7 linked regions of the Ovis aries genome follow. The main gene of each other region encodes a partner of the protein of the gene in region 4 in a complex. Links are inferred from orthologs where the notes say so. Each region holds a gene or a part of one and is shown on either strand. Other genes may lie near its edges.

The links.
Region 1: SMARCA4 (region 4) and SMARCC2 share a complex: the UniProt entries of both Homo sapiens proteins name them as parts of the BAF complex. The link is inferred for Ovis aries from reciprocal best matches to the Homo sapiens genes SMARCA4 and SMARCC2.
Region 2: SMARCA4 (region 4) and RUVBL1 share a complex: the UniProt entries of both Homo sapiens proteins name them as parts of the BAF53 complex. The link is inferred for Ovis aries from reciprocal best matches to the Homo sapiens genes SMARCA4 and RUVBL1.
Region 3: SMARCA4 (region 4) and PHF10 share a complex: the UniProt entries of both Homo sapiens proteins name them as parts of the neural progenitors-specific chromatin remodeling complex. The link is inferred for Ovis aries from reciprocal best matches to the Homo sapiens genes SMARCA4 and PHF10.
Region 5: SMARCA4 (region 4) and SMARCD1 share a complex: the UniProt entries of both Homo sapiens proteins name them as parts of the BAF complex. The link is inferred for Ovis aries from reciprocal best matches to the Homo sapiens genes SMARCA4 and SMARCD1.
Region 6: SMARCA4 (region 4) and SMARCC1 share a complex: the UniProt entries of both Homo sapiens proteins name them as parts of the BAF complex. The link is inferred for Ovis aries from reciprocal best matches to the Homo sapiens genes SMARCA4 and SMARCC1.
Region 7: SMARCA4 (region 4) and PBRM1 share a complex: the UniProt entries of both Homo sapiens proteins name them as parts of the SWI/SNF-B (PBAF) chromatin remodeling complex. The link is inferred for Ovis aries from reciprocal best matches to the Homo sapiens genes SMARCA4 and PBRM1.

Annotation. Positions count from the first base shown.
Region 1 is NC_056056.1:163,356,932-163,361,502, forward strand, and holds the start of SMARCC2 (SWI/SNF complex subunit SMARCC2), read left to right. Parts: upstream 1-1,574; 5' UTR 1,575-1,599; coding exon 1,600-1,710; intron 1,711-2,507; exon of another isoform or gene 2,508-2,805; intron 2,806-3,716; coding exon 3,717-3,836; intron 3,837-4,458; coding exon 4,459-4,544; intron 4,545-4,571. UniProt on the Homo sapiens protein: Involved in transcriptional activation and repression of select genes by chromatin remodeling (alteration of DNA-nucleosome topology).
Region 2 is NC_056072.1:59,415,755-59,419,708, forward strand, and holds part of RUVBL1 (ruvB-like 1), read left to right. Parts: intron 1-2,156; coding exon 2,157-2,259; intron 2,260-3,954. UniProt on the Homo sapiens protein: Possesses single-stranded DNA-stimulated ATPase and ATP-dependent DNA helicase (3' to 5') activity; hexamerization is thought to be critical for ATP hydrolysis and adjacent subunits in the ring-like structure contribute to the ATPase activity.
Region 3 is NC_056061.1:91,165,622-91,168,927, forward strand, and holds the end of PHF10 (PHD finger protein 10), read right to left. Parts: intron 2,651-3,306; coding exon 2,542-2,650; intron 2,293-2,541; coding exon 2,104-2,292; intron 1,812-2,103; exon of another isoform or gene 1,055-1,811; coding exon 969-1,054; coding exon of another isoform or gene 935-968; 3' UTR 867-934; downstream 1-866. UniProt on the Homo sapiens protein: Involved in transcription activity regulation by chromatin remodeling. Belongs to the neural progenitors-specific chromatin remodeling complex (npBAF complex) and is required for the proliferation of neural progenitors.
Region 4 is NC_056058.1:13,255,273-13,259,790, forward strand, and holds the start of SMARCA4 (transcription activator BRG1), read left to right. Parts: upstream 1-1,566; 5' UTR 1,567-1,855; exon of another isoform or gene 1,856-1,927; intron 1,928-1,997; exon of another isoform or gene 1,998-2,052; intron 2,053-4,518. UniProt on the Homo sapiens protein: ATPase involved in transcriptional activation and repression of select genes by chromatin remodeling (alteration of DNA-nucleosome topology).
Region 5 is NC_056056.1:136,221,298-136,225,251, reverse strand, and holds part of SMARCD1 (SWI/SNF-related matrix-associated actin-dependent regulator of chromatin subfamily D member 1), read left to right. Parts: intron 1-506; coding exon 507-623; intron 624-2,144; coding exon 2,145-2,246; intron 2,247-2,540; coding exon 2,541-2,702; intron 2,703-2,781; coding exon 2,782-2,879; intron 2,880-3,954. UniProt on the Homo sapiens protein: Involved in transcriptional activation and repression of select genes by chromatin remodeling (alteration of DNA-nucleosome topology).
Region 6 is NC_056072.1:52,090,132-52,094,085, forward strand, and holds part of SMARCC1 (SWI/SNF complex subunit SMARCC1), read left to right. Parts: intron 1-83; coding exon 84-260; intron 261-2,816; coding exon 2,817-2,914; 3' UTR 2,915-3,954. UniProt on the Homo sapiens protein: Involved in transcriptional activation and repression of select genes by chromatin remodeling (alteration of DNA-nucleosome topology).
Region 7 is NC_056072.1:48,264,087-48,268,571, reverse strand, and holds the start of PBRM1 (protein polybromo-1), read right to left. Parts: upstream 3,143-4,485; 5' UTR 2,984-3,142; intron 1-2,983. Other genes in the region: GNL3 (guanine nucleotide-binding protein-like 3), read left to right, coding at 3,343-3,355, 3,974-4,032. UniProt on the Homo sapiens protein: Involved in transcriptional activation and repression of select genes by chromatin remodeling (alteration of DNA-nucleosome topology). Required for the stability of the SWI/SNF chromatin remodeling complex SWI/SNF-B (PBAF).

The sequences.
Region 1 (4,571 bases), on a different chromosome or scaffold from region 4:
TTGGAACAAGGAGAATTTAGAACACTACCTGGCACATAATAAGCACACGATAAAAAGTGAGTTATCTTCGCACACTCTGGCTCCAGCCAGATTGGCAGTGTTGATGTTTCAATAGATCATTCCCCACAAGCTCTGTGATCCCTGAGACGTAGCACCTGAGGGAAATCCCAGTGAGAGAACGCCTTGTTTCTAGGATCTTCACGGTACAGAGACCTACAAGATGTGACGTCTGGTCATTAAATTCAGAGGTGCCCTCTTTATCTGGAAACTCCAGTTTTTACTATTAAAAGCACAACTAGCATTCACATTCCTGAACAACACTTAACCGTTCTTGAACCAAATCTTTGGCTACACCCTCCCGAAAGAATGAAACAAGGTACGTCGAAACTCTGCTTGCAAACCTGAAGTTACAGAATTCTCTAAGTGCTTTGTTATCCTAGCAGACAATACAGTTGTACATCATTAAACGCTTCTTGTCACCCTCAGCCCCCTTCTTCCCCCAGATCCAGGGGTGAGACCTTTTGGCTTCTGTTTCCGATACAGAAAGGGAAAGGCACGAAACACACGTGGAAGTCAAGAAGTTTCCTTCACACACACCCTGAAAAAAAGCGGCCGTCACGAACAGGATTCGAACCTGTGCGGGGAAACCCCATTGGATTTCGAGTCCAACGCCTTAACCACTCGGCCACCGTGACTTCCAAGACCGCCTGTCACCGAGCACTTACAGAAAGGGTCTGTACAACGACCCGGAGCGAGTGGTGGCAACGGGAAGCTGGGCCAAGCCCAAACACACAGCCTGTGACCTCCTCACATTCCGCTCCTTACCTCTGCCTTCACGCCGCTCAAAGGAAGAGAGTCGGGTGGATCGGGTGACCCAAAGAGGAAGGGTCTCCCGCCCTACGAAGATGAGGGTCTCAAGGAGCGCAAAGCTGTTTAGGAGGCATTGGCGAGGCCTGCAGAGGAAAGCAGTTGGAGAGGAGGGGCTGGGTCCCCGGGGTGGCGGCTAGGGGACTCCTCGGGTTGCGGAGTGAGACCTGGGACAAGGCGTTAGGGGCGAGGGAGGCTCAGGAGTTTAAACGGGGCACTCCTGGGGATGGATGACAGGAAGAAACTTCTTGCGGAAACGGGTCCAGGGCTCCTCGGGATTAGGGGCTTTGTGGGGTTAAGAAATGTGCAAGGTGAGGACCACTGAGGTCTGGGCTGGGGGCTCCTCAGGCGACCGGCATCCCCCTGGGGTAGGATAGAGAGGTACCCCACTCCACCGGCTGAGAGGCAAGAAAAGACTTCAGGTCAGCAAATGGCGATCTCTGGGGAGTGTGCGCCCCCTCCAGGAAGCAGCTTCCTCCCCAGAGCTCCGGCCGCGGCCGCCGCCGCCGCCAGGGAGGCCGCCAGGGTCCGCCCCGCGCCAGGCGCTCCGCCGCCACCGCGTCCGGCCGACCGGCAGGGGGCGCTGCGCGGGCCGGGGCCGGCCTAGGCGGCGGGAGGCGGCGGCCGCGGCGGCGGGAGGCGGCGGGAGGCGGGCGGAGGAGGAGGCGGAGGAGGCGGGAGCTGAGCTGAGCGGGGCGGGCGGCGGCGGGGCCCGAGCCCGAGCCCGAGAAGATGGCGGTGCGGAAGAAGGACGGCGGCCCCAACGTGAAGTACTACGAGGCCGCGGACACCGTGACCCAGTTCGACAACGTGCGGCTGTGGCTCGGCAAGAACTACAAGAAGGTACGCGGGCAGGGCCGCGCGGGGGCCGGGGGCGGGACAAAGGGACCGAGGCCCCGCGGCTCCCCCCACCCCCAGCTCCTGCCCACCCTCCCGCGGCCCGCGGCCCCTCCCCCGCGGCGCCCGGAGCGGCCCCAGCGCGCCCTCCGCCGCCCCGCGCCCCTCCCCCAGCCTCTTTTAACAACCCCCCCCACCCCCGCCTCTGGTTCCAGCCCCCGCCCCCACTGCTGCGCCCTCTGCCCCTTGTTTTTCTCCACTCGTCCGGCGGGTCCCGGTGCCAGCTGCCCACCCTCCGTAAGCCATCGCCTTCCGGGCTTTTCCGGGAGGGACGGTCGGGGGTGGATGGGTGCCGAATGCCCACCCCCCCCGACCCGAGCGTGCCCGCCACGGTGCCCGCCAGAGCTCCCCACGGAGCCAGGTACCAGCAGGGCTGAGGCCTCGCCGGTGCTTTGTGTATGTTCAGAGAAAGATGATGAAAGCCAGAGGATAAACAGCCCCAGAGCAGGCCCTCGACTGCTCACCAGCCTGAAAAAGGCCCCCACCCCGGGATCACCTGTCTACCGCCCGCCCCCATCTCCGTACAAGGGGTAACAGAACCTCTTTGGGAGTCAGGGTATAGGAGTTCCTGGGCAGCTACCCCTTTTAAAACCATTGCTCAACTTCACAATGAAATCACCCCACCACCTGGCCTTGCATTGCCTTGGGTTTGGGGTTCAGAGACTAGGATGCAGTTTGTGTCTGGAGTCCCCCATCCCGTAACAGGAGATAATAAGGTAATGAACAAAGGGTTCAAGCCTTACCTGTCGTTTATACCAGACCTCTTCCTGGTGATGTCTTTGTCTTTAGGCCTGGTTGAAAGGAACATCTCTGCATAGGGCTTTTCTCTGGAGAGGGTCTGGGTCTCTTCCTTCTCACTGCCCCCAATAAGAGGTTCTCAGACTTTCCTTCAGCTCCCCAGTTCTTCCTGCTCAGCTCTGCAACCTGTCAGAAGTGTGATGGGCTGGTGGAGAACGCCCCTCTGATCCTGGTTATGAGTCTGGCTCTGTTCTCAGAGGTCTGTCTGGGTGTCAGAGCTTGACCAACAGCTGCTGGGTCTGTGGCTCCTCTCTACACCAGCCTGAGGCTCTGGCTCCCAGGCTTCTACCTTTGACCTTTTGGACAGGAGATCAGTCTAGGGGCTTAGTGTCTGGCCCTGGGGGAATTGACAGCCTGTGACCTAGTTCAGCTGTCAAGCTCTTAGCTCTGTCATTTACCTTTTCTTTCAAGGATCTCTTTACACCTCCCACCAAAAGGTGCGCTTTTTTCTATGGTCGGGGTTGAGGAAAAGGGGATCAAAAGATAAAGTTAGCTTCTTTGCACAGTTTTACACGAGAACTGAAGGCTAGGGTGCTAGGTCGCATAATATGGAAATATTTAAGAAGCCCCAGGCTTGCCTGTGTCCAGTACAGTCTCCTCAAGAAGGGTAGATACTGGCTTGCTATTTCCACCTGGCTGGGCAGTAGCTGTCTTTTTTCCCTTCTAGGAGGGCATGTGAAGACATGTGCCCTATATTGCTTCTTTGCACCTTTCTTATCAGGCTATATTATAGGGGGAATCTTGACCTTCCACACCATTACTCAAAGAAGTAGACTGCTGTCTCCCTTAGAGCATTCCAGATGTTGCTTCTGTGGCCTGATCCCTATGAATCTTCATAATTTTACAACTCTAGGTGCCATTGGCTAAAGATCTGGATCCTGCAGCTCCATTTTTAGGGTGTAGTTGAGGGAGAGTAGGAAGCTGCCTATATTGCCAGCACCCAAGACTGGCAGTAGGAAGCTGAATGTCATCTTCTTGGTGAGGGGCACCTCAGGCCTTCCTTCTGCCGTTTTCTTTCTAAGAGATTAGGCATGTGGGGGAAGAAGACACTATTTGTATTCCAGATGCTTCCAGAGCTTCTGGGAAAGAAAGAAGGGAGATGGTGGAAAATTGATTTGGGGTCTGTTTTTCTCTCCTTTTCCCTATTTCCCCAGTATATACAAGCCGAACCACCCACCAACAAGTCCCTGTCTAGCCTGGTTGTACAGTTGCTACAATTTCAGGAAGAAGTTTTTGGCAAACATGTCAGCAATGCACCGCTCACTAAACTGCCGGTAAGTGCAAAAAGCAAGGGGGCAAATCCAAGAAGGAGTTGTCTCTTGTGTTTTTGTAAATCTTCTAGTTTTTGAGGTTTGGGTGACTTCCTACCATCCCTTTCCCTGGTTGGGGTGTTACTGGCTTGGCAGAGCCCCCAGTTTACCATCCCCTTTGTCCTAGTAATAGTTCATGCAACAGGTTATCTCGAGTATTGAAACTCAGTCATGAAACTCATGGCATGGTGAGAACGTGAGATTTGGATTTGCACACTCTTGTGTTCAAATCCTTGCTCTACCACTTGGTGTCTCTGTCATCTTGGACAAGTCATTTATGCCTTTTGAGTCTTGGTTCCTTTATCTCTCGATGGGATTAATATACCTATGTTGTAGGTATTACCTGTAATGATTAACGAGGAAACCCAGTAAAGGGAATCCAGCAAGGGACATGGTGGGGCTTTGTAGATATTGGTTTCTTTCTCTCCCCTCTTCTAGGCTACAAGATAGAATGGCACAGGGGTTAAAGAATTCCAGCTTTGAGAGGGAGATCAGTTCAGCATAAGATTTTGTGAAAGGATTGTTAAATCATAAGAGAATTTAGGATGTAATTCTCATATACTTCTTCCCTGTCTCAATTTTGTAGATCAAATGTTTCCTAGATTTCAAAGCAGGAGGCTCCCTGTGCCACATACTTGCAGCTGCCTACAAATTCAAGAGTGACCAGGGATGGTGAGATGCCTTCTCTTCTCTTTGTAC
Region 2 (3,954 bases), on a different chromosome or scaffold from region 4:
GAGTGAGGGTCTGTGTGCGCGCGGCACGTGCAGGCGGCAGCTTCGTGCAGCCCCTCTTTGAATCCCTGTAATGCTGTCTTGTCAAGAACACCGCTCGTCACCGTCACCGCTGTCTTCTGGTCTTGAAGGGACGGCAGCTTGGACCAGGTCCAGGCCAGCCAGGGCCTGGCTCCCCGGGCAGCATCTGGAAACGGCACCTGGCCTGGAGAGCCCGGTGTCCGGCCACACAGGCGCCGCGTATGTTTTCTGGGCTCGCTTTGGTGGGGCCTGGCTTCAGGGTGACAGTGGGCAGAGGGGCCCAGCCTGGACAGCTGGCGCCCCCTGCTGAGGGAGCCCCGCGGCCAGAGCCCACCCCGGCCGAGAGCTCTCAGGGTCAGAGTCCTCTTCGCCTCCTGCCGTCTAGGGAAAAAAGAGGCACGGGAGGGTGGCCGTGACCTCAGAACCCACCCAGTGGGGCCTGGGGAACTTGGCCCCAGCCCCATCCAGAAGGATGTGTGTTCCAGAAACCATTTTCTCTAATACGTTGTCTGAAAGAAATTTTGTGCCTCAGAGTCCGAGCTTGAACACATTTCCACAGTCTTTGGTCTTTAATTCCTGAGAAGTGCTTAGTATTTCTTAAGCAGAGTTTTTGTTTTTGTTTTCTGTTAAAATTTTTAGTTTTATGGACTTAAAACCAAAAGAAGATTTTAACACATGTTGACAAATTCTGTTCCTTCGTGTTTTTTTCCCATTTTTTTTTCTTTAGACTTTTATATTCACTGTCTCTGAAATGAAGATAATTTATCATGAGTGTTATAGAAGTGGGGATGTTTCAAGATGGCGGATTGAGATCGTTTAAACTTTCCCAGGAGAATATCTAAGTAGAAAGAGAAAAATACAGCCTACACAGAATCAAATAACTGAAGATTAAATGAGGTTTTAGAGGTTATTTTGTTTAATATGACGATTACAGGTATACCAAATACTGAGTTTAATCATGACAGAATTTTTTCCTTACAATTCTTTATTTTTTTTAGAAATATTTGTTGGTGAAAAAGATTCATTTTTTTCTAGTGGCTTCTTAACATTTTGCATTTGCTACTAGTCTGTTTCCTTTTTTGTTTGAAAAGGTCTTAATTATTTTTAAGTATTAGATTTAGCAATGATTAATGTAGCATTTTATTATTTTATTTTTTCATTGTGGTAAAATGCATAGAACATAGTTTGCCGCTTTAGTTACTTTTAAGTGTTGGGGAGGCCAGAACTGGGGGCCTGCTGCTGTGGCCTGCTCAAGTGGAGGCAGGAGCCCCCGGCTCAGCTCGCTGGGCTTCCAGACGCGGCTGAAGCCTAACACGTGCCGCAGGGTCTGCCTGGGACACAGCCCGCTGGGAGCTGGTGCTGTTCAACCCGGTGGGGTGGCCAGTCACTGGTTTGGCTAAGGATTCGAGAGAGAGACAGGCAAAAGTTATGATGGGACAGTTCCCCAAAAGAAATAAATAACTGATGGACACGAGGGAAGGCCTTCAGACGATTCATGAATAATCAAGGACGCGCAGAGTCAGATGCGGTGCTAGGCCTTCCTTTTCCTAGAACTTTAGGCAGCAAACTGTGAGGCTGCTCAGCGCTGGCCACAGTGTCGGGGGGCCAGATCGCTCGCGCGGCTGCAGACGTGAGCACATTCCTTGGTTCAGCCGTCCATGTGTTTAGGGAGATGTTCAGGGTTGTGTCCGGCTCTGTGAGAGATGCTGAGGAAGTGTTCATGGCAGTTATGCCTAAGACACCGTTAGTTATAACAGTAACACTAGGGACCACTACGTGAATGCCCTGTAGTTTGGGTCCAGTGAGACTCGTCATGGGCTGTTTATACTGAAACAACAGGGACAGGAGCGGCCCAAACGGATCTGCACACTTAGGGTGGCGCGCGGGGGTGGCAGATGCCGCTGTGAACAGCCTCGCCGCGGCTGCAGTTGGCCTTCTCCTCCTCCCCCGACTCCCCGTGGTGGTGATACTCGCAGAAACAATGGCGTGGTTTCTGATGCCACCCGAGTGAGTCTGTCCTCGCGGTCCTGCTTCTGACTCTCAGGACGAGAACTAGCTGCTTTGTTATCACCGGGGCCTCGGCCATGGTTCCACTGTCCAGAGAGGCCCGAGTGACCTGGACCTTGTCGGCCTTGCAGGGGCACGGAGGACGTCACCTCTCCTCACGGCATCCCTCTCGACCTTCTGGACCGAGTGATGATCATCCGGACCATGCTGTACACCCCGCAGGAGATGAAGCAGGTGGGCCGCGCCGCCCCTCCTCCCCGCCCTCGCTCGCCCTCGGGCCCCTGACACCGGGCAGGACGGAGCCCGTGAGTGTCTCTGGCCCCCCACCGCCCCCCACGGCGCTGCCGGCCGAGGGCGTGTCTCCGTGCTCCCCAGCCTTGGCCCACCTGAGTGACGCGAGCCAGCAGGGCGTTGCCTCCCGTGTCCCAGCGGCTCAGCTGCCGGGAGTCCTGGCGGTCCTCTCTTCTACCCCATCCCGCCTGGTAACCTTAGGACGTGGGAAAACCAACTGGAGGACCACCAGTAAGCAGGCCCCAGCTCAGAGAGGCAGCAGAGCGCCCCTCAGTGATGGGCCCGCCCAGGCGCCAGCCCGCCGGAGCCTGCGGCAGCCTGGCTCCCGCGGGCAGAGCCCAGGCCCCAGCAGAGGCAGTGTGGGTGGCGGCCGTGGAGTGACGCTCGCAGGGAAGGTGTGCAGGGGCACGCCGAGCTCACGGCGGCTCCGCCTGTGCTGAATCAGGAGAGGTGACGGGCCGCGGGACTGGCCTCGTCCGCAGGGCGCAGCCCCAGCTCTCCTTGCAGAGTCGGAGCCGCAGCCACATGCCCGCAGCGCCCGCAGCCTTGGCAGCCCCGTCCCTTCTGGGCCTTCCGAGCCATCCTCTCCCCCGGTGCTGGCTGAGCCCTAAGTGGCGATTCCAGGACACAAAGCCGGCCGTGTGCTGCGGGGCCCAGCCATCTGCTCTGCCCACCCTGACCCCAGACAGTCTCGCTGGGGCATAGGTCTCACTGTGGGTCCCCGTACAGCCACAGCTGGGGACCTGGGGTGCCCAGGGCCGCACTGACATCCGGGGGACTCTGCCAGACCGTCTCCTCCAGAGCACTCTCGGATGGGGTACTGAGTCGTTTGATCCCGTCACTCAAGGTAGGGCAGACAGTTACTACTGATGTTCTTAAAGAGCGGGTGCTGAGATGTAGACTGGTTAGCTTGCCCGGGTTCACATGGCCCATCTGTGGCAGGACTGGGACTGGGACCCAGGCTGTCTCATCCTGAAGCCCCTTACCTGATGTCTCTGCCACCAGCCTCCTCCCTGTGAGAAATGTCCCGTCTGGGAGGCAGTCTCTGTGGCAATTGGCCAGCAGGCTGCTCCTTTCGGAGCTCAGAGGGCCTCTCCTGGACCCTCCGCAGCAGCACCCCGCCTGCCTGTGGCCTGTCTGGCCTGGCCTTGCGTGTCCTGTGGACCAGCGCCCAGGAGGCCCGTGACGTGTAGAGCCAGCGCTCTCCCTGCGTGACGGCATGGCTCAGACCCCAGGTGGTTGAGCACCGTGGCGGCAGCAGCTGGGTGGGAGGTGGGGTCCATGGCTGGAGGCCTTGGCGCCACGCAAGAGGCTCTCGCTCTTGGATGAATGCTGGGTTGAAGCCAGGCTCTCGCTGACTAGGAGCAGAAGCGAAAGCAGAGAAGTCGGTCCCTTCCTCAGCCCACTGTTGTGGCTGGGGCGGCGCCCTGCACCCCGCGGCGCTTCGTGGCTGCGTGGTGTCCTCTGTGGGCCTCCGCCTCTGCTCACGGGACAAGCGCTCCCTCCTCTTGGGGCCGCTGGGAGGCCCCGGGGAGAGCGCGGGAGAGCAGGGAGGAAGGGCTGCTTCTCACGGGCTCCTCACAGCAGCTTTCAGTGACCAGGGCTCCAGGCTGGCATCGCAAGATCAGCCAGCCAGCC
Region 3 (3,306 bases), on a different chromosome or scaffold from region 4:
GCAAGCACGTGTTTTCTTTTAATAAAGCATCAAAATTCCTGTGAAAGGGATATGCTCAATAAGACGCTTCAGCCCCACTTCGATTAGTCAGGTGACTAGATGGTTGCAGTGGTTTAGGTTTTACTCGAGAGACTCAAATGAATTAGTGTGTTGGCTTTAGAGAGTTGCTAAAAGCAAGTCTAAATGTAGTCATTTCTCCACACTTGCCTGACCGAGAACTAAAGCCCCCTGTCTACACCGGAAGTAGAGACGGCGCCTGCTGGCCAACAGGATTTCCTGGAAGGCGGGTGGTGTCCCGATACCGGTTAATGATGGTTCTCAACTCAGCTGCGCCTTATCTCCTCAGGTTGTAATTTTATCGTCTTGGGCCCCTATGGAAATTCTTTCGTTATTAAATAACTGCCCTGCTACCCATGGTACACCAGAAAGGATACAGATTAGGAAAATTTCATGAAAATAATAGTAACTTTTAGATTAATGGAATAATAGTTAAGTATTTCTAATTAAGCTGCATAATGTTACCACTGAATTTCTGGAGAGAGCCAAAAAGAGTGAAGTCACTCAGTCATGTCCGACTCTGCGACCCCCACGGACTGTAGCCTATCAGGCTCCTCTGTCCATGGAATTCTCCAGGCAAGAATACTGGAGTGGGTTGCCATTTCCTTCTCCAGGAGATCTTCCAGACCCAGGGATTGAAACCGGGTCTCCCACATTGCAGGCAGACGCTTTGCCATCTGAGCCACCAGGGAAGTCAGAGAGAACCAAAGTACTGAGAAATCAAGGCTTTTTGCAGGATGGGACTATTTTTCTGCTTGGTTTCCAGGGTGAGAGCGGCTTATGAGTAAATATTGCAGATTTTAAGCATGTAGTTTCAAAATCTTTTATTGGCATAAAAATGAGAACATTGTAAATAAATTGGCACCAAATACATCATTTAAATGCATATTACAGTATTGGGGTCAAGAAAACTATCCCTCTTTGCTGTTTTTCCCCCTTCTGCCCACTTTCCTGGGTGTTGGGGGTGCTCGCTGACAACAGTCACAAATCCAGCGACCTAGGAGAAAAATTGTTAGTTAATACAGGATGAGACTTAACTTTTTAGGACTGAGTTTTAAAACCATTTAGCTCTCCTCCCTTAGCTAAGGCTACTGATACTCCTCACTGGGTTTCTGGTGGCGCTGGCACTAACTTCCCTTAAGGTCGTCAGTGTCATAACCGCCCTGTGAAATGCACACGGGGAGGGAAGGGGTCCTGGAGGAGCTAAATAATGACAGGCCCCTTGAAAAAGGTACAATCTTTTCTGAAATTCAGACACTACCATACTTTAAACATTCAATCGCACAAGTCATTATGTAAAACCTATTAACTGACTGTGGCTTATTTCTATGCATCTCAGCATCCCCTCAAGTCCTGGTCTACAATGCTCACATAGCACTTTAAAATGTATCAAATATTTGATAGCATTATGATAGACTATACGACATACTTGACCTGAATTACTATAAAACTCTAAATAATTATTTAAGTTGCTTACATCTCAATGACTCCCAGGAAACCTAGGCATATCTTTTATAAAATATCAGACAGTGTTAACTATGCAAATCAGTTCTAAAATTACGCAATTATGTGTATAAAGTTTTAGTCCAATTACTGTGACTTATTCTTTGATTCTGTGTTCATTCTGAAGTTATCTGGAATTGTTATGTTGCCTCAATTTACATAAATCTGGTTTAATATGTATAAAGGCATATAAGTCATTTTGTTAAATTTCTAAATGACGTATAAAAATAAAATCAAGGCTTTGAAACAAATCGCTGCTACTGCCTTAGCTATTTCAGTAGAACAACACGAGCTCGTCTGCACACACTGAGCTCTACTTCCAGAACTTACAGGCCATCTGCTGTCTCACTTGTCCTTAATCAGCTGCTCTAGCGATGAGAAACAGGTGCCCGCGACCACAGCTTTGGCCACTTCTCGTGAGTGGAGAGGGCACGTCTCTCCAGGCCCTCCGTGTCATCATGGTATTTATGCAGCCTCCAAAGAAAGGAAGTGCTGGAAGAGCCCCTTCACTCAGAGATAACGTTCCTCCTTCTCAATCTTTACCTGATGGGATAGCACCAAGGCCCACACAGAAAGTATGATAACCTCTGTCACACACGTCACAGAACATCATTTCTTCTTCGTGGTGGGGCTGTCCACATACAATGCAAGCCTTACACTCCATACACTGCCATGGGTAGGTCTTAATCATGGAAACAAGCTCCGCGGGCATGTCCAGGCAAGAAGGGTGGCCTAAACCAAAACCAGGATTAGTTGCATTCCACACGAGATTCTAACTTACATGGCACAGTAAAATGCTAGTTTGCTTGAACTTCTCGGGAATGGCTACATCGGTTTAACTGCCAAAGAGAAATGGGAACACAAGGCAGAAGACAAGACAGGCTTGACGTCTCTGACGACTGGGTCAAGCCTAGCTGACAACTGAGCCCTAGCGCGAAGCAGCGACCAGAGCTTAAAGCGTGAAGCCGTGTCAGTACTTACCGCTGTTGCCACACTGGGAGCAGTGTACAAGTGGCTCAGCCTTCCCTCTCTTGCTGGACTCCTTACCCTTCAGACAAATCCCACACAGAGCATTTGGAATGACCTTTGGCTGGAAGGGTAGAAGAGGGCTATAAATTCATGCCAGAAGAACCTACTATGGGTTCAAAAGGAATTATTACTGTATCGCCTTATTTTACTTCCAGTAACTTGTTAATGAGGACCTAACTTGCTAGCAAGGACCTTGAAAGACATAGCCTGACACCACTCTGCCTTCAACATACGACAGCCTACCAGCGAAAGCCTTGGGCTTCAGATTTAAATTTTGTCAAAGGCATGATCTCATGTTAGGATTAGATATATCATTCCACACTCCCTACATACCAGTAAGATCTGTACAATGACCTGGAGGGAAGACTAATACACTGTCAACCTGCACTGTTAACCGAAAGAAAAACGCAGCTGCCAAGAGACTACTGCAGGGGACTTAGGCTTATTCCCAAACAGATGACTCCACTGTAGGCAGCTTACATGCCGATTTTGTTTAAAAGCTGATGTGCTCCAAAGCTGTGAGACTACATCTATAAAATCTAAGTTACAAAATCAGTTTTTAGCACTGTGAACCGAAAGAGGCTTCAGGCATACGCTGCTGTGTGCAGAAAGGCTTGTGGGAAGCCGAGCTGTGTGACTTGTTCCCTCTGAATATCTCATACATTAACAGAGGAGCTGTGACTAGTAAAACATGAAGCAGTTCTCAGATGTGCAAAA
Region 4 (4,518 bases):
TTTGTGCAAGGCGGATTCTTAACCACTTGATCACCAGGGAAGTCTTCTGCTCAGCGTTTAAGATGTTGAAGGCACTTTAGAAATATTGCTTGAATGAATGAGACAGGCCGAAGTCTAGACCTCACTTGCCCATTTCCTGTCCATTACCCAACGTCACAAGCTAAGTCACCGAGAGCTTCTCCATGGCCTGTTTTCATGGATGCCTCATAACCAACCCTGTGGAGATGAGTGGTGTCACTGTTTTCACTTTACAGGTGAAGAAACAGAAGTGTAAACTTCTGTAAACTTGCCTGGCATCCCCCAGGTACTAAGGAGAGTCAGGTTTTCAACGCAGGTCTTTTTGGCTTCAGGCCAAGATATTAGCTGCTGCTTTATGCTCTAAGGGCCTCACCTTGGGCTTGGAAAGGCCCAAAGTGCTGGTGATACACACTCCATAGAAGCTAATATATTTTCAATTAAAAAAGAATATTTTTAAGGTGTCTAGTGTGTTGCAGAGGGTGGCCCCACACTAGATATTGGGTATTCTTCACTAGGGACTAAAATTGACAACACTGCGCCACTTAAATTGAGGTTAGGGAGACAGATACTAAAGGGGTTACCCAAGAAATGTGAAAGAAAAGGAGGTGGTGATCAAAGAGGGGGCAAGGCCAGGGGAGGTGATGAGTCAGCTGAGACCTGAAAAATGAGGGGGAAGGCCTGAGAGAAGCAGGGGTAGGGAGTCACAGGCTCCAGGACTTGGCCCTGGGAACCGTTTGTCCAGTTGTGGGGCTAGAAACAACGAATACAGACTCAAGAGATACTCTCAAAATTTAAGAGATGAAGCCTCCTAGTCTCTGGGCCTTCACACTTGGAACAAAGCTCTCTCTCTCTCACTGCTTTTATGTCTTGACTCAAATGTCTTCGCAGAGAGGCTTTCCCTAGCTGCCCCATTTAAAACTTCCCCGACCCTTCACGTGTCCATTTCAACACAGTGTATTTTACTTAAGTTTTCTTGCCTCGCGCCTGCCTCTCCCACTAAACCATGAGCGCCACAGAGGCTGAGATTTCTCTTCGGTACTACAGTACCTCAGTGTGGGGCAGGTCAATAGATTATCTGCTAAACTAATAGCCCTAGGTAAGTTGTGCGGAAAAGATAGCCACGGTCTTTGCGTAACAGGCTTTGCCGAACGGGCACCGCCATCATCCGAACATCGACCTGCACTTGGCCCAGGGGCCGGCTCTGCTCATCCCCGGCCCCAGCCTGTCCGCCTCCTGCCTTCATGCACGACCTTGGAAGCCTCACTTCTGAGTCTCAGGGGCCCTCGGCCACGCTTTCCCCGCAGACCTCTCCACCACCCACCCCATCCCCCAACCTCCCGCTGCCACCTCCACCTCCACCACCGCCGCAGTGCCGCCTGCTCTGCGCATGCTCGGCGGCTTTGAGACGCGCGGCGTGCGGGAACGGAGACCACCGCGCGCAGGCGCATGACCGTCCCACACAGAGTCGGGAGGCGCGTCGGGCGCTCTAGCTCTCTCTGGCCCCACCCACCTCTCCCAGACAACCCCGGCGAGACGCGCACGCGCCCTAGGAGCGGAAGGGCGGGCGGGCACGCGCACGAGGACGGGCCAGCAGCGGAAGCGAGTGGGAGTTCGTGGTGGGGGGAGGGGAGGTGGCGAGTGCGCGCGCAGCGGGGGCGCGGGCAGCGTGGGGGGGCGGCTGAGGCAGGCGGGCGCGCGCGCGAGGCTTACCCTCGCTCGGCGGCTGCGGCGGCTGCTTCTTTGTTTCGTGAGGAGAAGCGAGAAGCCCATTCTGCCCCCGGCCCCGCGTGGAGGGGCGGGGGCGGCGCCGGGAAGGCGACGGCGCCGGCGACTCCCGGTAAGGAACGTGGGTCGCGGGGGGAGCGCGGCGCGGGGCTTGGGAGGACGGTTTGAATGGAGCCGGGGCGCCGAGGGGGGAGGGGGCCGCCGGCGCCCGGAGCCGGGCCGGGGTACGGCGGCGCCCGAGGGTCAAGAAGCCTGACCGGCACCGCGCGCGCGGGGAAGGCCACAGGCAGCGAGGCCTCGGCGACTACAGTATCCGCGGGACGGCGGGGTGGGGGCCAGGGCCGCGTGGAGGCCGCGCGCCCCCCGCGCGCGCTCTCGCCGGGGTCGCTGGACAAAGCGCGTTGCCCCGTCGGCGGTCCAGGGGCCCACATCCCGGTGTCCGCCGGGGCTGCAACAATAGCCAGACGTCCGGGCTTTTCTGGTTACGTTCTAACGGGTCCGACTCGAATGTTGCCTTTTGGCGAGCCTGCAGTCGGAGCTCAGTAGGAAAAACCCCAGGTGTGTCCAGCGTCGCCCGGACACGAACATTAGCAGCCCCCCTGGGTTAGCCGACCTGAATGGTTATTTTTTTAAAAGTCACGTCGTTTTAGATTTTCAAGGAAAGGTAAATAACTCTGCTAACCCCTTGCAAGTAGTGACTTGAGAACGTTTGCCCTGAAGCCGGGGGTCGGCAGCAGTGGGGAAGGACGGAGAGAACTGTTTGCCGTTAAAAGCATTGTTTTAGTTTTGCGTCCTTACCCCTTTCTGCCAATCGATTTTCCAGATTAAGGTTTTTATTTAAAACGCGAATCTTTCAGGAGAAGGTATTTTGTGAAGGTCTTGAAGACACTAGTCTTGATATTTTCCCCCCCTAGTGAATCATTGGGGAAAGTAGGGAATAAGCAGTGAGAGCCACTTCCTAAGAATTTGAAACAAGTTTTCACTTTTAAATGACAGGCCTGATTCAAGTTTGACTCCTGGCTGTTGCTGGTCACTTCGCTGTGTGACAGGAGGCAAATAGCTTAATCTTTTGGAACTTCTCAGTGTCCTCATATGTGAAATGAGAATAATGGCACAGATGGAGCCGGTGAAAGCCTGTAAAATGGTTCCTGTCAAGAGGGAAGCACTATCGTTGTTGTTCAGTCCAGTCTCTTCCATTCTTGTTCAACACATACTTGTTGAGCCCCAGCTGGGTGTTTGGTAGTTGGAGGTTGGGTGCCCAGAGCAGCCTGTTCAGTCTTGTAGGGGAACAGGTGGTAAGTGTGGGAACAACTAGAGGCCTGTCATGTGTGAGGAGCACAGCAGATTGGTGCCAGTGGTGGGAACCAGAGATCAGGTAGCTGCATGGAAGAGGGGGCTTTTACTCAGGGTTAGGGAGGACCCCCAGGTTGTGTTGGACCACTTGGGACCAGTCATTGCTCCCCTCTGCTGCTTTTGCACATGGTCATCTTGATCCTTTCTTGTGTTAGGAGTTACTCCTGTTTGTAATTACACATCTCTTCTCCAAGGGCCATCAGAGCTGTCTGTGTAATCTCTTTTAGTGTACCCTGGCCCAGTGTGTAGTAGGCCCTTAGGGAACATTTGTGGATGAAGGAGGAGGGTACTCTTGAGGATTGAGTAGCCCTGTGTGTGAAGTGCTTGGCCCAGGACTTGAGGGCGAGTTGCAGACAATAAATATTAGTTGCTGGCGCTGTGTTTTGCTTTCTTTTTTAATTTTTTTCTAAAGCTTTCCAGGCCATTTTCCCCAAACCTCATTCCCTCAACAGTAAGGGTGTGGGGTAGTAGTTAATAGGAGGTGGTGTTATGGAGTGCTAGTTCTGGAATTAGACCTCCTGGATTCACAGTCAGCTCTAAATTCTAGTTTGACCTCAAGCAGGACACTTACCAGTAGGTCCCCCAACTTGAGAAACAGATAAGACAGTGGTGCCAGCTCAAAGAATTGTTGTGAGGGTTGGAAAGATAGTATGGGAAGTGGTTTAACACTCTCTAGAGTCTGGCATGTAATGAGCTCTCAATTTTTCGGAGGTGGTTTTGTTCATACGTATGTATTTGTAAATTAACTGTTCAGAAAACTGAAAACATGAGTCATTCTGTATCCCAGAAACCCCAGGTTTGATGTGCTGGTTATATACATTTTCCTAATTTTCTTTAAACTCAATACATATACGATTATGAAAATAATAAGTGTTCCTCCTCATGCCACTTGAAATCATTTGTGCCCAACCCTTCAGGGGGCTTCCCAGGTGGCGCAGTGGTAAAGAATCCCCCTGCCAATGCAAGAGACCTAGGAGACATGGATTCGGGACCTGGAGGAGGGCTTGGCAGCCCACTCCAGTGTTCTTGCTTGGAGAATCCCATTGACAGAGGAGCCTGGTGGGCTATAGTCCATGGGGTCACAGAGTCGGACGTGATTGAGCGCACACGCCAGCCCTTCAGGAGATGTTGATTTTGCAGGTGTTTTTTGGGGGGGTGTTCATCGTGGGGTGACCTCATCATAGCTTTGGTGCAGGGCAGTGCAGTGGTTCCAGACTTCCTGTCAGTGAAAAGCACTCCAACATAAACACGTATTTATTTTTTTAAAACACATAATTTATTTATACACCTTTGCCTCTCTTGTGGGTCCTCAAAACATTGGGAGGTAACCGTAGACCAGCTCTCCGTCCCCACTGTTTATCTGATGTGGGAGAGTGGGAGGGACTCTGTGTATTGGGTGAATATCCCTTGAGAACGTTCTGC
Region 5 (3,954 bases), on a different chromosome or scaffold from region 4:
CTTATACTCTCTGGCTCTCTATTTTTAGCTGTTCACAGGCAGGCCAGTGTGAACGCAGTTTTCAGAAGAAGCAGGGGTCAATGTCGGAGCCTCTGTTTTCTCTATATATGTCCAGTCCATCTGCCAGTGGTGCCATGTCATCCAGATAAAGCTGTTTTTGTTCTGGCTGCTTATTACCTGTGATTCATTTTTCCTCTAGAGTCAGAATTTTCTCTGTTCAGACTCGCTTTTTTCTGTGTAAAGGTTTGGCTTAACTTGCATCATTTCCCTTGGGAAAAAGAGGTGGGCAAGCCAATGACCCTATACACGTTATAGGCTGCTTCTTCGGGGTTCTGTTGCTACCGCAACTTGTTTAATAGACACCTACCTTGCCATTTCCTAAGATACACTCAGAAGACATTTTTGTTTTTTTCCCATTGCTTTTGTGGGTTCCTTGTTTATGGGACTTTGTTTTGGGGAATTTCTTCTGGTTTTTTCTAACATGACGTCTCATCTCTCTTTTCCAGTCAGCCTTGTCCAAATATGATGCCACCAAACAAAAGAGGAAGTTTTCTTCTTTTTTTAAATCCTTGGTGATCGAACTGGACAAAGACCTGTATGGACCAGACAACCATCTGGTGGAAGTGAGTAGTTCTGTCCTCTAGACTTTGGCTTTATCAGTAGTGGATGATGGCCTTGGGAGCTAAACTTCAATGTCTAGGGAGAGGGGCGTGGGTACCTCCAATGCAGTTTGCACATTGGCCTCCAGGTGGCACTAGATGTTTGGTTTTGGTACTGTTTGGACCCAAGAGTTCTTATAGTCTGACTTGTCCCACCTTTTAAATTTAATTATCTTGATTGCTGCCCCCACTCTCAAGAGAAAGTCTAATGGAGGCTTTTTATACATGCCAGGAATGGTGAGATGTAGCTCTCCACATGCCATTCATCTTTTTTCCTGGTAACAAGTGCTGTGTTTAAGGGGTTCATTAATAGGATTTAGTCCTTACCAAGGCTACTTCTTCTCTTTTTGGAGAAGGCAATGGCACCCCACTCCAGTACTCTTGCCTGGAAAATCCCATAGACGGAGGAGCCTGGTGGGCTGCAGTCCGTGGGGTTGCTAAGAGTCAGACACAACTGAGTGGCTTCACTTTCACTTTTCACTTTCATGCATTGGAGAAGGAAATGGCAACCCACTCCAGTGTTCTTGCCTGGAGAATCCCAGGGACGGGGGAGCCTGGTGGGCTGCCATCTACGGGGTCGCACAGAGTCGGACACAACTGAAGCGACTTAGCAGCAGCAGCAGCGAGGCTACTTTTACAGATCTGCTGCTTGCTTTTGGTTCTTGCTTTGTTTAGATTCACATTCCAAATCATCAAAAATTCTTTATTATAATGCCTGATTACATAGTGTTCTAAAGACCTTGTTAGCAGCAGTGTTCTTTGTGATACAGTCAAAACAAGAATGAGATAGTCGAGCACTCCAAGTGAACTTAACCTGCTCCTTTCTTTGCCAGTGTAGCCGCAGCCCCTTAACCTCAACCACTAAGAAACATGGGAAGGTCTTTACCATCTAATAAGGGAAGTAAGTCATAGAATCAATAGAAATTTGTAAATATATTTAACTTTATAGCAGTAGAGCATAGTGCCTGAGAATGTGGACTGTGGACTCCAACACACCAGAGCTCAGATAACAGCTCCACCACTTATTGGCTGTTGACCTTGGGCAGCTTGCTTCATTCTTGTAAGCATTAGTTTTCTCATCTGTAAAATAGGTTTAATCATGCCTTTCTCATATGGATGTTGTGGGGATTCAATATGATAATCCAAGTACATGTCCTAGAATACTTTGGCACATAGTAAGTACTCAGTAGATGATAGCTATGTTATTTTACTGTACAAGTGTATATTATCCATTTTATGGATAAAATTATCACTGAAAATACAGGCTAATTTAAATGTGACCCTGAGCAGTCAGAATTAAAATGTCTGTCTCCTTATAGACAGGAATCCCAAAGTCATATGCGGTTTTTTAAAATGTCTCATGGTGTTGCTCTTCTCCAGTAGCCTCATTAATCAAAGTTGAAAATTCAGTCATTACAGAAGCTCTTCCCTCCCACCCCAGCTCTTCCTCTGGGAGAGCACCCCCTGACATCTTCCTCTCTGTAGTGGCACAGGACCGCCACTACCCAGGAGACGGACGGCTTCCAGGTGAAGCGGCCAGGAGACGTGAATGTGCGGTGCACTGTCCTGCTGATGCTGGACTACCAGGTATCTGCTGCCCTGAGGAGGCCCAGCTTTCAGCCCCATCCCATCAGCAGTCTGACATTTAAAGGCAGTTTAAGTCCAGTTCAGGGAATTTGCCATCAGACCGTTAGCTCCCTGGATATCTTTAAGGGATAGGGTCTTAGTCATTTCTGAGTTCCTCTTCGTGTTTTTCTGCTCCAGAGAAAGCACAACATGCATGCCTGTTGAATGGCATGAATGTGTGGCCACACCAAGTGCCCCATAATAGCACATAGACTCAGCTCACTAGCTTCACCTCTGCACCCTCGTTCTCTCCAGCCTCCTCAGTTTAAATTAGACCCTCGTCTGGCTCGGCTCCTGGGCATCCACACCCAGACCCGTCCGGTGATCATTCAAGCACTGTGGCAGTATATTAAGACACACAAGCTCCAGGACCCACATGAGCGGGAGTTTGTCATTTGTGACAAGTACCTCCAGCAGGTGAGAAAAGTTTCCACTCTTTTCTCAAGTCCACTGCAGCACCAGTTGTACTCTTAGCTGCTTCTCCTCTTTCCCACAGATCTTTGAGTCTCAACGTATGAAGTTTTCAGAGATTCCCCAACGGCTCCATGCCTTGCTTATGCCACCTGAGCCCATCATCATTAATCATGTCATCAGGTAAGCATGTGTACGCAAGGCAGTGTGTGCTGGAGCTGGCTTGTACCACCTGCGCAAGTCAGTTCTCAGAATTTTTAGGAAATTTATAAGCAGGTTGTTAAACACAGTCATTATTTAGGATTATATAAACTTGCGATTAAATACATTATATAAAAAATAAGTGTAAATGTACTCAGAAGGTCATCATATCTGAGTTGTTATATTGGTTTACCGGTGTTTGGGCTTCCCTGGTGGCTCAGATGGTAAAGAATCTGCCTGCAATGCAGGAGACCCAGGTTCAATCCCTGAGTCAGGAAAATACCTGGAGAAGAGAATGGCAACCCACTCCAGTATTCTTGCCTGGAGAATTCCATGGACAGAGGAGCCGGGCTGGTTACAGTCCGTGGAGTCTCAAAGAGTCAGACACGACTGAGCAACTGACATACACATACTGGTGTGTGTTTTTGAAGTTACTTCTGTCTCTTGTGTCTGTGTGGTGGAAATACTGTCTAATGATGTGTTACTGCACATCCCTTCCCAATTCCTCGATGAGTGATATAATGTCAGCATCTTGAAATCAACCGTGTGGAGAATATTTAAAACACAGAAATTAGCAAATGCTCCAAGTCAGGGTTTTTTCTTACCGTTCTTTTTCTCTTTTGGAGAATCAGTTATTAGAATTTATCAGCTCATCACTGATGAACTCCTGTCTTTTCTCTGGGTGGTAGGACATTCCAGTCTGAGACTCCAACTCCCATTACCTCTGTCTGCTTTTCTGTTCAGAAGATGGATGAACAAGGCATGTTTAGGCAGATAGTGAAAGAAGGCACTTTCTCCTCAGAGCACCATGCCTTCTGGCTCTACATAGTCTTTGCCTTCTTTCCCTTACTCCATATTAACTCCAGTAAAGCTGTCCTTTCGCTAGACCCTGAACCATCATCACTCAGCTGATAGTAATTCCTACAACCCATACGCTGGGTCAGTAGAAGCTAGTTTGTCCTATATTCATGTGGTTAAATTTAGGCCACGTTTTATTTTGTGTGGTGTGTGTTTACTTGAATGTATTTTCAGAGTCAGTTTAAGTTTAATAAGTAAA
Region 6 (3,954 bases), on a different chromosome or scaffold from region 4:
GATGTCTATCTGTATTTAGCACTCTCGGGCAGTGAGTTGATTCCTGTCTTCCTTACCTTAGTACTCTGACTCTCCCTCCACAGGTCAGATACCAGGCCCAGGTTCCATGATGCCTGGGCAGCCCATGCCAGGCCGCATGATGCCCACCGTTGCAGCCAGCATCCACCCCCCTGGGAGTGGCCCCACCCCTCCTGGTATGCCTCCAATCCCAGGAAACATCTTAGGACCCCGGGTACCCCTCACGGCACCTAACGGCATGTGTAAGTACCCAGGTGGGGGGAGGCACTACCCTCGGGACTTTTGGGGAGAGCTGTACACAAGGGAGGCAAGCACCGTTTGTTCCCTCTGGGGTGTGACAGATCCCTGGACAGGATGGCCTGTGAGGGGCGCTTCTGAAACCTGGGCTTTGGTCATTGCGCTTCAGCATCCCTGGTGGACAGGTACCCAGGTGGTGAGCACAGAGTGCTCCCAGTTAGTCAGGAGCCTTCCATAGCCTTCGTGGATGCATTCGTGACACCAAGGGCTCTGGCAAGGCCAAGGGCACACCTCACCCATGCCTGTTTGAGGCTATCTAATTTGAATCTGAGTCGATACACAGAACTACTGGTAGTTATTTTCTGTACAGGAGCCTTTTATGGATTCAGGATTTAAAAGAGGTAAGTGTAAAGAAAAGAATAGAGTCTGGTTTAGGGCAAGAATAATAATAAGTTTTTGTCCAATATATTGGTAGTGGCTGCTTAGACTTAGAAAAGAGTATTCAGGGCTGTGTTGAGAAGGAGTTTGAAGTCTTAGCGGGCTCCATCGAGCGGGCACATATGCTGATGAACAGTGTCTGTGGCAGTGTGCAAAACCAGCTCGGTTTTGCCATGGAACCCTTGTTCTGCTCCAACCCTGGCCTCCAAAGGGGTGCATCAGAGCCTGGCCTGCCCTCTTACCCTGTGGACCATGGTAATGATTCCAAAATGCAGCTGACAGTGGCCATGTACCCCGCCACATCTGTGATCCCAGGTCCTTTTAGAGGAGGACCTGGGTTCTCATGAGGTGGAGTCAGCCCCTGTTTGTTTATAGTAATACAGCTTATAATAAAATGATAATGTATTTATAATACAAAAACATAAAGTAATAATAATGAATTTATAATACAATACAGAGAGCTAGGATGCAGAGGTATTCCTGGCCTCCAGGAGCTTTAGTTGGGAAAATAAAACATGAACAAATGGATAGTAGTGTAGGATTTACCGTAAGTTACACAAGGCTATTGAGTGGCTTGAGCTCACTATAGTTCTCTGGGAGACTTCCTAGGGCCAGGAGACAAGTGCCATCAACACAGGTGCATCTCCTTTCTCATTGGACTCCTAGGAACAAGGACAGATTTAGGTGCACAGAAGAAAGACAGCACTTGAGCCAGGTCAGTACAGGATCATTGTTGAGAAACGAGGGACTTCCTTGGTGGTCCAGTGGCTAATACTGCGCTCCCAGTGCACGGGGCCCGGGTTTGATCCCTGGTCAGGGAACTAGATCCCACATGCTGCAACTAATGATCCTGCATGCAACTAATGCATGATCCTGCAGCTAATGATCCGGTACAACCAAATAAATAAAAAAAACTTTTTTTTTTAAGCGATCTTTGTTGTTACATCAAGGATCAGAGATCATAGTCTAGTGCGTACCTCTTTTCCTAGCCTTGCTGCCCCACAGGCAGTGTAAAAATGTGCTGGCTGACTGGGAGGGTTGACCACGCTGCCATCCCCGTTGCAAACATAATATCATTGGTCTTTACCACTGTCCTGTCCTGCTGATAACACCTGATTTGTATACATGATTCCATCCTGAAGGGCCCTCAGTGCAGTACCTTGAGGGTGTGGAATGTTTGGGGTGCTCCCCATCACTTCCTGCCCCAGATGAATTTCAGGGATCCTGAGCTGCTGATTTGGCTTCAGGGCATTGGGCAGGCCTCATCAGGCAAGTCACTTCCCTCTTCAGGCCTTACTTTGCTCCCCTGAAAGGTGACACTAGGGAGTAAATCGGTGGGCTTCAAAACGCTTTGAAGAGCCTTAGCAATTGGGTGGACACCTCCTGAGGGGAAGGTTGGATGAATTAGCTGGTAAGCAAGGAGGTGCTTTAATTGTTTAATTCGTTTTCATCCCTGGCAAAATCTTGAAGTTTTTAAAACCCTGGATTGAAGTATCTCTATGGTTGCTTTGTACACTAAAGCAGTCAAAGTAGAAATAGGAAAGAGCTCCTTTCCTAATTGTTCCCTTCAGGACCTGACCTAGTTTTGGCCAAAAATTTAAAGACTACAGTTCAGGAGTTGCGGGGCCTCTCCAGGCTATCCAGCTTGTTGGCCGCTGCCTCAAGTCAATCTCTGTGACCCTGGTGGAGACAGTTCATAAAAGCCAGCAGTTTCTGATAGGCAGTTTCGTCCCCAGCTAGGCTAGGCACTCTGAGAGAACGCAAAGAAGACACAGAACTTGTCCAGGAAGGAGCTTATCATTTAACTGAAGAGAGAGAATTAGCAGTGAGAACCATTAAGATAATGATAAAATCAAAATATAATTAAGTTCTGCAAAGGTCTGGAGGGATTGAGAGTGGGGCGGACTCAGACACCTCCGCACCCCCGAGCCGCGTGGGTCAGGGGAGCCACACAGGTGGTGACGTGGAGGTTCAGGTGGACCGCCCCATGTAGCCCTCAGCAGCAGCCGTGCCTCACAGGCCATAAAGAAACTTCCTTTATAAGTCCTGTTTCTCTGCATGGGCTCTTGCCCAGGCCCCTTGTGTTTCCGGCAATGACAAGTTCCTTTTGGATGTGTTTGCAGATCCCCCTCCGCCGCAGCAGCAGCCACCACCTCCAGCACCTGCGGACGGAGGCCCTCCACCTCCCGCTCCTGGCCCACCAGCCTCAGCTGCACCGTAGCCCGAAAGACACAGGGGACGTCCGCGCCCAGTGCCCCCAGCTGGAGTGGGGATGACAAGACTTGTGTTCCTCCGCTTCCTTGGGTTTCTTTCAGGAGTTTTCTTCTCACAGCCCCAAGCACGCACCCTGACTTTTCCCCATTCCTCTTGCCACCCCTCTCCGTGCTCTGACACCTGCTGTGTTAGTCCTCCTCCAGCACTCAAGGGGAAGCCACTGCTGCCAGTGTGCCCTGGTCGCCCTGAAATACCTGGCGTCTCCCTGACCCGCTGTGGGGTATGCTGACAGTGTGTCTGCAGGTCCTGTCAACGTTAGTGGTCTATGTCTGTATCATTTTTTGCTCTCCTGCAGTTTTGTTCTGTTTTTGCTTTGTCTTATGCTTATATGGATAATGCTTTATAATCATTATCACTTTTCTTTTTTTTTCCTTTTGGTCATTATTGCTTTAAAGGAGAGCATCCTAAGTTAATAGGAACCAAAAAATATTGATGGGCAGAGGGGATAGCCAGAGGGGACAAACCTTAAGGCATTGTAAGTGACCTTATTTCTGCTTATCTGAGCTAAGAATGGTGCTGATGGTGAAGTTTCATGAGACTTTTGCCACACATGGACGCACCAAAATTTAAAGAGATGGGGAAAAGTGACCCCCCCCAATGTTATCCTTAGTGAGGACCATGAGAGCCTCCAGCCTGCCTGGCAGAACACCCCCTTTCATCCCTGGTAGGGGAGAGCACAAGCTTTAGAAGAGATCCACTCCTTGCCCTGGCCCACTGGTTCTGGTTTTCTATGCAGACGGTTTGTTTGATTGCTAGGGGAGGGGGTGGGCATTTTGTTTTTGTCAAAAGTGTAAGCAGTGTAAGCTTTGAGGGCTGCGATTTGGGAGGCATTCCTGAGTTCCCTGAGTCTAGGGAACTTTCCCACCAGGAACGTTCTGAGGGTCTTGGGCAATGGTCATCCAGTGAATCTAGCCCACTGTTCACTGCTTTGTGTGCATTCTTTTTTCTCCCTCTTTACAAGAAAGAAAAAACTTAAAGAAAAAAAAA
Region 7 (4,485 bases), on a different chromosome or scaffold from region 4:
CTGTGTGTCTGTTAGTCACTCAGTCGTGTCCAACTCTCTGGGACCCCATGGACCACAGCCCGCCAGGCTCCTCTGTCCATGGGATTTATCAGGCAAGAACACTGGAGTGGGCTGCCATTTCCTTTTCTGTGTGTGTATCAGTTCAGTTTAGTCGCTCAGTCATGTTCAACTCTTTGCTGCCCCATGGACTGCAGCACCCCAGGCTTCCGTGTCCATCACCAACTCCCAGAGATCATTCAGACTCATGTCCATCGAATCGGTGATGCCATCCAACCATCTCATCCTCTGTCGTCCCCTTCTCCTCCCACCGTCAATCTTTCCCAGCCTAAGAGTCTTTTCTAGTGACACAGTTCTTCGCATTAGGTGGCCAAAGTATTGGAGTTTCAGTTTCAGCCTCAGTTCTTCCAATGAATATTCAGCACTGATTATAGTCTAGATCATATATTGTCCAAAATTACTCCAATCATTAATTTACTTTGATAACAACAAAAGATTCAACTTAAGTATAATTTTCAAATATTTTTTCATTCAAAGAACACATTTTAACATGTACTTTGAAAGTCTGGCAAGAAAAGCAATGTGGCTAGGTGGGTGGGAGGAGCAACAAGACCTGAGCTCAGAAGTGAAGACTAATAAGAGACACGGGCCTTCCTTCTTTAATGATCTGTTTGATGTTGGGTCACAACCTCTCAGATCTGTTTCTTCATTTCTAAAATGAAAACAGTAGTGTATATATCAGGGCTCAGTGGTAAAGAATTCACCTGCTGATGCAGGAGCTGCAGGTTCGATTCCCGGGTCAGAATCCCCTACAGAAGGAAATGGCAACCCACTCCAGTATTCTTGCCAGGATAATCCCATGGACAGGAGAACCTCGCAGGCTACAGTTCATGGGGTCGAAGAGTCAGACACGACTGAGTGAGCACACATGCAAAGTGTACATATCTCCCTTGGACTGTTTTGACAATGAATGTACATGAAATCACTTTGAAATGTCACAAGGGAAGCCCCTGAAATATCAAAGTGCAATAAAAACGTTAAGTTAAAACTTAACTCTAGGATTTCATTCTCCCTTGTGCACAAGAAAAGCAATTTACCCATTTTTGTCGCCTGACTTATAGCACAGTTTCAGTGATCAACTAATCTATTTAACAAATGTAGTAAAAGTGCACTTAAGTAAAATATTAAAAAGTTTGTGTAGTTTAAAAGGCCTGTGAGCAGCCATTCAGCAATTATTTTTCTATAAAGAGAAAAGGAATAGATTCTGAAGCTTAGGTACAACTTTTTAAATGGCATTGATTACAGTCACATGTCCAAAACCTAACAATCAATGATAAATTACAGTGGACAGTAAAGAATAACTTTACAATGTGCAACTGGGAAAAAATTACTCAGTATAGCCAAATGGTGTATTCTGACAGTTTATAGACTTGTACTATTCTCCTGTATTTCCAGTGATTCTTAGTGCTGTAATTTATCTTTAACACAATAATCTTGGGGGAAAAAAATCACTTATAACGCTGTGTGTTAGTCATTCAGTCGTGCTCGACTCTTTGCGAGCCCATGGGCTGTAGCCCGCCAGGCTCCTCTGTGCACGGAATTCTCCAGGCAAGACTACTGGAGGGGGTTGCCATTCCCTTCTCCAGGAGATCTTCCCAACCCAGGGATCCAGCCCGGCTGGGTCTCCTGTACTGTGGGCAGACAGCATTCTCAGCTTTCAGTATTTGTTCTATGCCTGGCTGCTTTTTTAAAAAACTGAAGTGTGAACAAACTATATGTATTATGTTGCAGCCTGTGTTTGCCTTCGACAATATTCCTGAGTCAACATTCTCACACATGATGTTGGAAGCCTTGAAACTAGCCTATCACACAGATACAGCAACGTACTAATCTTAGGAGTTTGGGTAGAACGTTAATACTTTACGTATTTCGGACACTCCCAAAGCCCAAGAGGTCAAAACCCTTCTATTTATCCACACATGTCTGTTACTGATTTGACTTACTTTTTCAAAAAATAACTTCCAATTTTTAGACATAAAATATGGGAAACCTGTTAACAAGTGATAAAGCAGAAATTATACTGCTCTTTTGTATTGAATCTACTTTGCTTCTGAATTGTACTTGGGAAAAGAGCTCACTACTAGATGGAAAAAAAAACCCCTAGAAATCACTGAGGAGGGATAATTTGCTGGAAAACAAGTTAATAGTAATGCTTTATACTCCAACATATGTTCCTATAATCGTAGAAATAATTTCTATATCCATATACCGTGTATTTGTCATTTGTTTTTCAGGATTCCTCCTTAATTTCTGCCTATCTTTCTTCACCTTTAAGTCATCAACATCTACCCTATAACAAAGAAACTATGCTTCTTTTTCAATAAAAAAATTTTGTTGAGATGGAAAATATTAAAAGCCAAAAATGTACACAATTTTAAAACCTCGATTCTTTGTGGTGTTGCACGGAAAAAATTATATCTGCCCTCCATGACAAATACAACTCCCACTGATTTAAGAAAACACTCAGTCCGAACAGTCATCCGGAAAGTATTAAAAAAAATTTTTTTTTACTAGGAGAGTTTGTGTCTGAACCGTCAAGAAACGACAACAAAAAAAAGAAGCCCTTAACTGCTGAGGAAATGTAAGACTTTCCCAACCTGTCACCGGCACGGGGAACTAAGGGAAACGTTGACAGCTTTGAAGCTGCCCGCGACGGGAGCTCGGCCAGCCGCGGGGGGCGGGAAAGCGGGGCGCGGGGAGTTTTCGGGCCGCGGCGCGCCTTTGTCCCTGGCGGCAGGTGCGGCGAGGCTGCCGGGCCTGTCCCGAAGCCCCGCCGCCGGGCCCCGCCCCGCGCTCCCGGCCCGACCGGCGCGTCCCCACCATCGGGGCGGGGCCTCCGCCGCTGCTCCCGCCCGCCCGGGCCCACACAAAGGCCCGGCAGTCGGCCGAGAGGAAGCGGCCCCGCCCGCCCCGGGCCCGGCCTTACCCAGCCGCTCCGCCGCCTGCAGCCCCGGCCGCCGACAGCCGCGCCCCGCCCCGTGGAAGCCACGGCTGCTGCTATTGCTCCTCCGGCCGCGGCCGCTGCCGTCGCTCCAGCACCCGCCGCCCTCACCGCCCTCACCCCTCCCGGTACCGCCGCAAAACCAGTTCCGCGGCCGTCGAGCGAACCCGGCTCCGCACGACACTGCGTGCGCGCGCACACGGGCTAGTGGCGGCGTGCTTTACGGCAGCGGCGTGAGTGCGTGACGCTCGGCGGAGGCCTCAGTTGGCACGTGGCGCCTGCAGGGGCACGTTGTACCTGGGAGTGCTGGTGTAACTTCGGGCGCAGGCCTTTCGGCTTCCACTATGAAGCGGCCGAGTGAGTGTGGTCAGGGGGCGGGCGTGGAGGGGGCGTTTGTGTCTGATAGTCGACCAACCCACCAGGGTGCTCCGTCTCCCTGATCCCGCCTAGAACCGAGGGTTGGAAGGCCCCACGTGAGCAGCGCGGTCTTGTGTGCGGAAAGAAAGTCTGGGCCCCAAGGATGGAGATCAGGCCAGAGAGTCATGAGGACCCAGTGTCTGAGCCAGGTTTCGGGCCTGGCGTTTTCCCTTGTGCGGCCTCGTTCGGTCTGGCTCTGGTGAGGTCTGAAAACACGCACTGTTAGATTTTCTTCTGTGGTTCGTGCTGTTTGACAGGAAGTGGCAGTTCTGGGGTTATATGCTCCTGTGTACGATCCCAGTCTAATTTAGAAAGGTGGAAGTAGGGAAGCTGGATCTACAACGAATCTGTTAAGTTAGACTCTGGGACTTGGCTGGTCCGTGATTATTTTTACCACGCGCCCCACAATATTATTAAATTATGTTTCAGAGCCAGTTAATGCAAAAATGGATGTGACCTAAAGCGCGGTCATCAAAAGCTAAACTAGCTGATCATTTGTGGATAAAATCGATTTTGAAAAACAATAAATTAATCCTTTTGTGATCTGTTGCTTTGTAGAATTAAAGAAAGCAAGTAAACGCATGACCTGCCACAAGCGGTATAAAATCCAAAAAAAGGTAAGTCTTGGAAGAGTTATGAAACTTAAAGTTGCTCAGTCGTGCCCGACTCTTTATGAGGTCAGGGACTATATGCTCCGTAGAATTCTCCAGGCCAGAATACTGGAGTGGTAGCCTTTCCCTTCTCCAGGTGATCTTCCCAACCCAGGGATCAAACCCAGGTCTCCCACATTACAGGCGGATTCTTTACCAGCTGAGCCACAAGGGAAGCCCAAGAATGCTGGAGTGGGTAGCCTAGCCCTTCTCCAGCGGATCTTCCCAATCCAGGAATCAAACCCGGGTCTCCTGCATCGAAAGTGGATTCTTTACCAACTGAGTTACCAGGGAAGCCTGGAAGAGGCTAAATTGATTTCCTGCCCCAGAGATGTGGGTTAACATTAGTATGATTTCACTAGTGGAGGTTTAACTAGAATAGAGGTCAGATATACCTGGTCAGGAGGTCCGATATGGTGC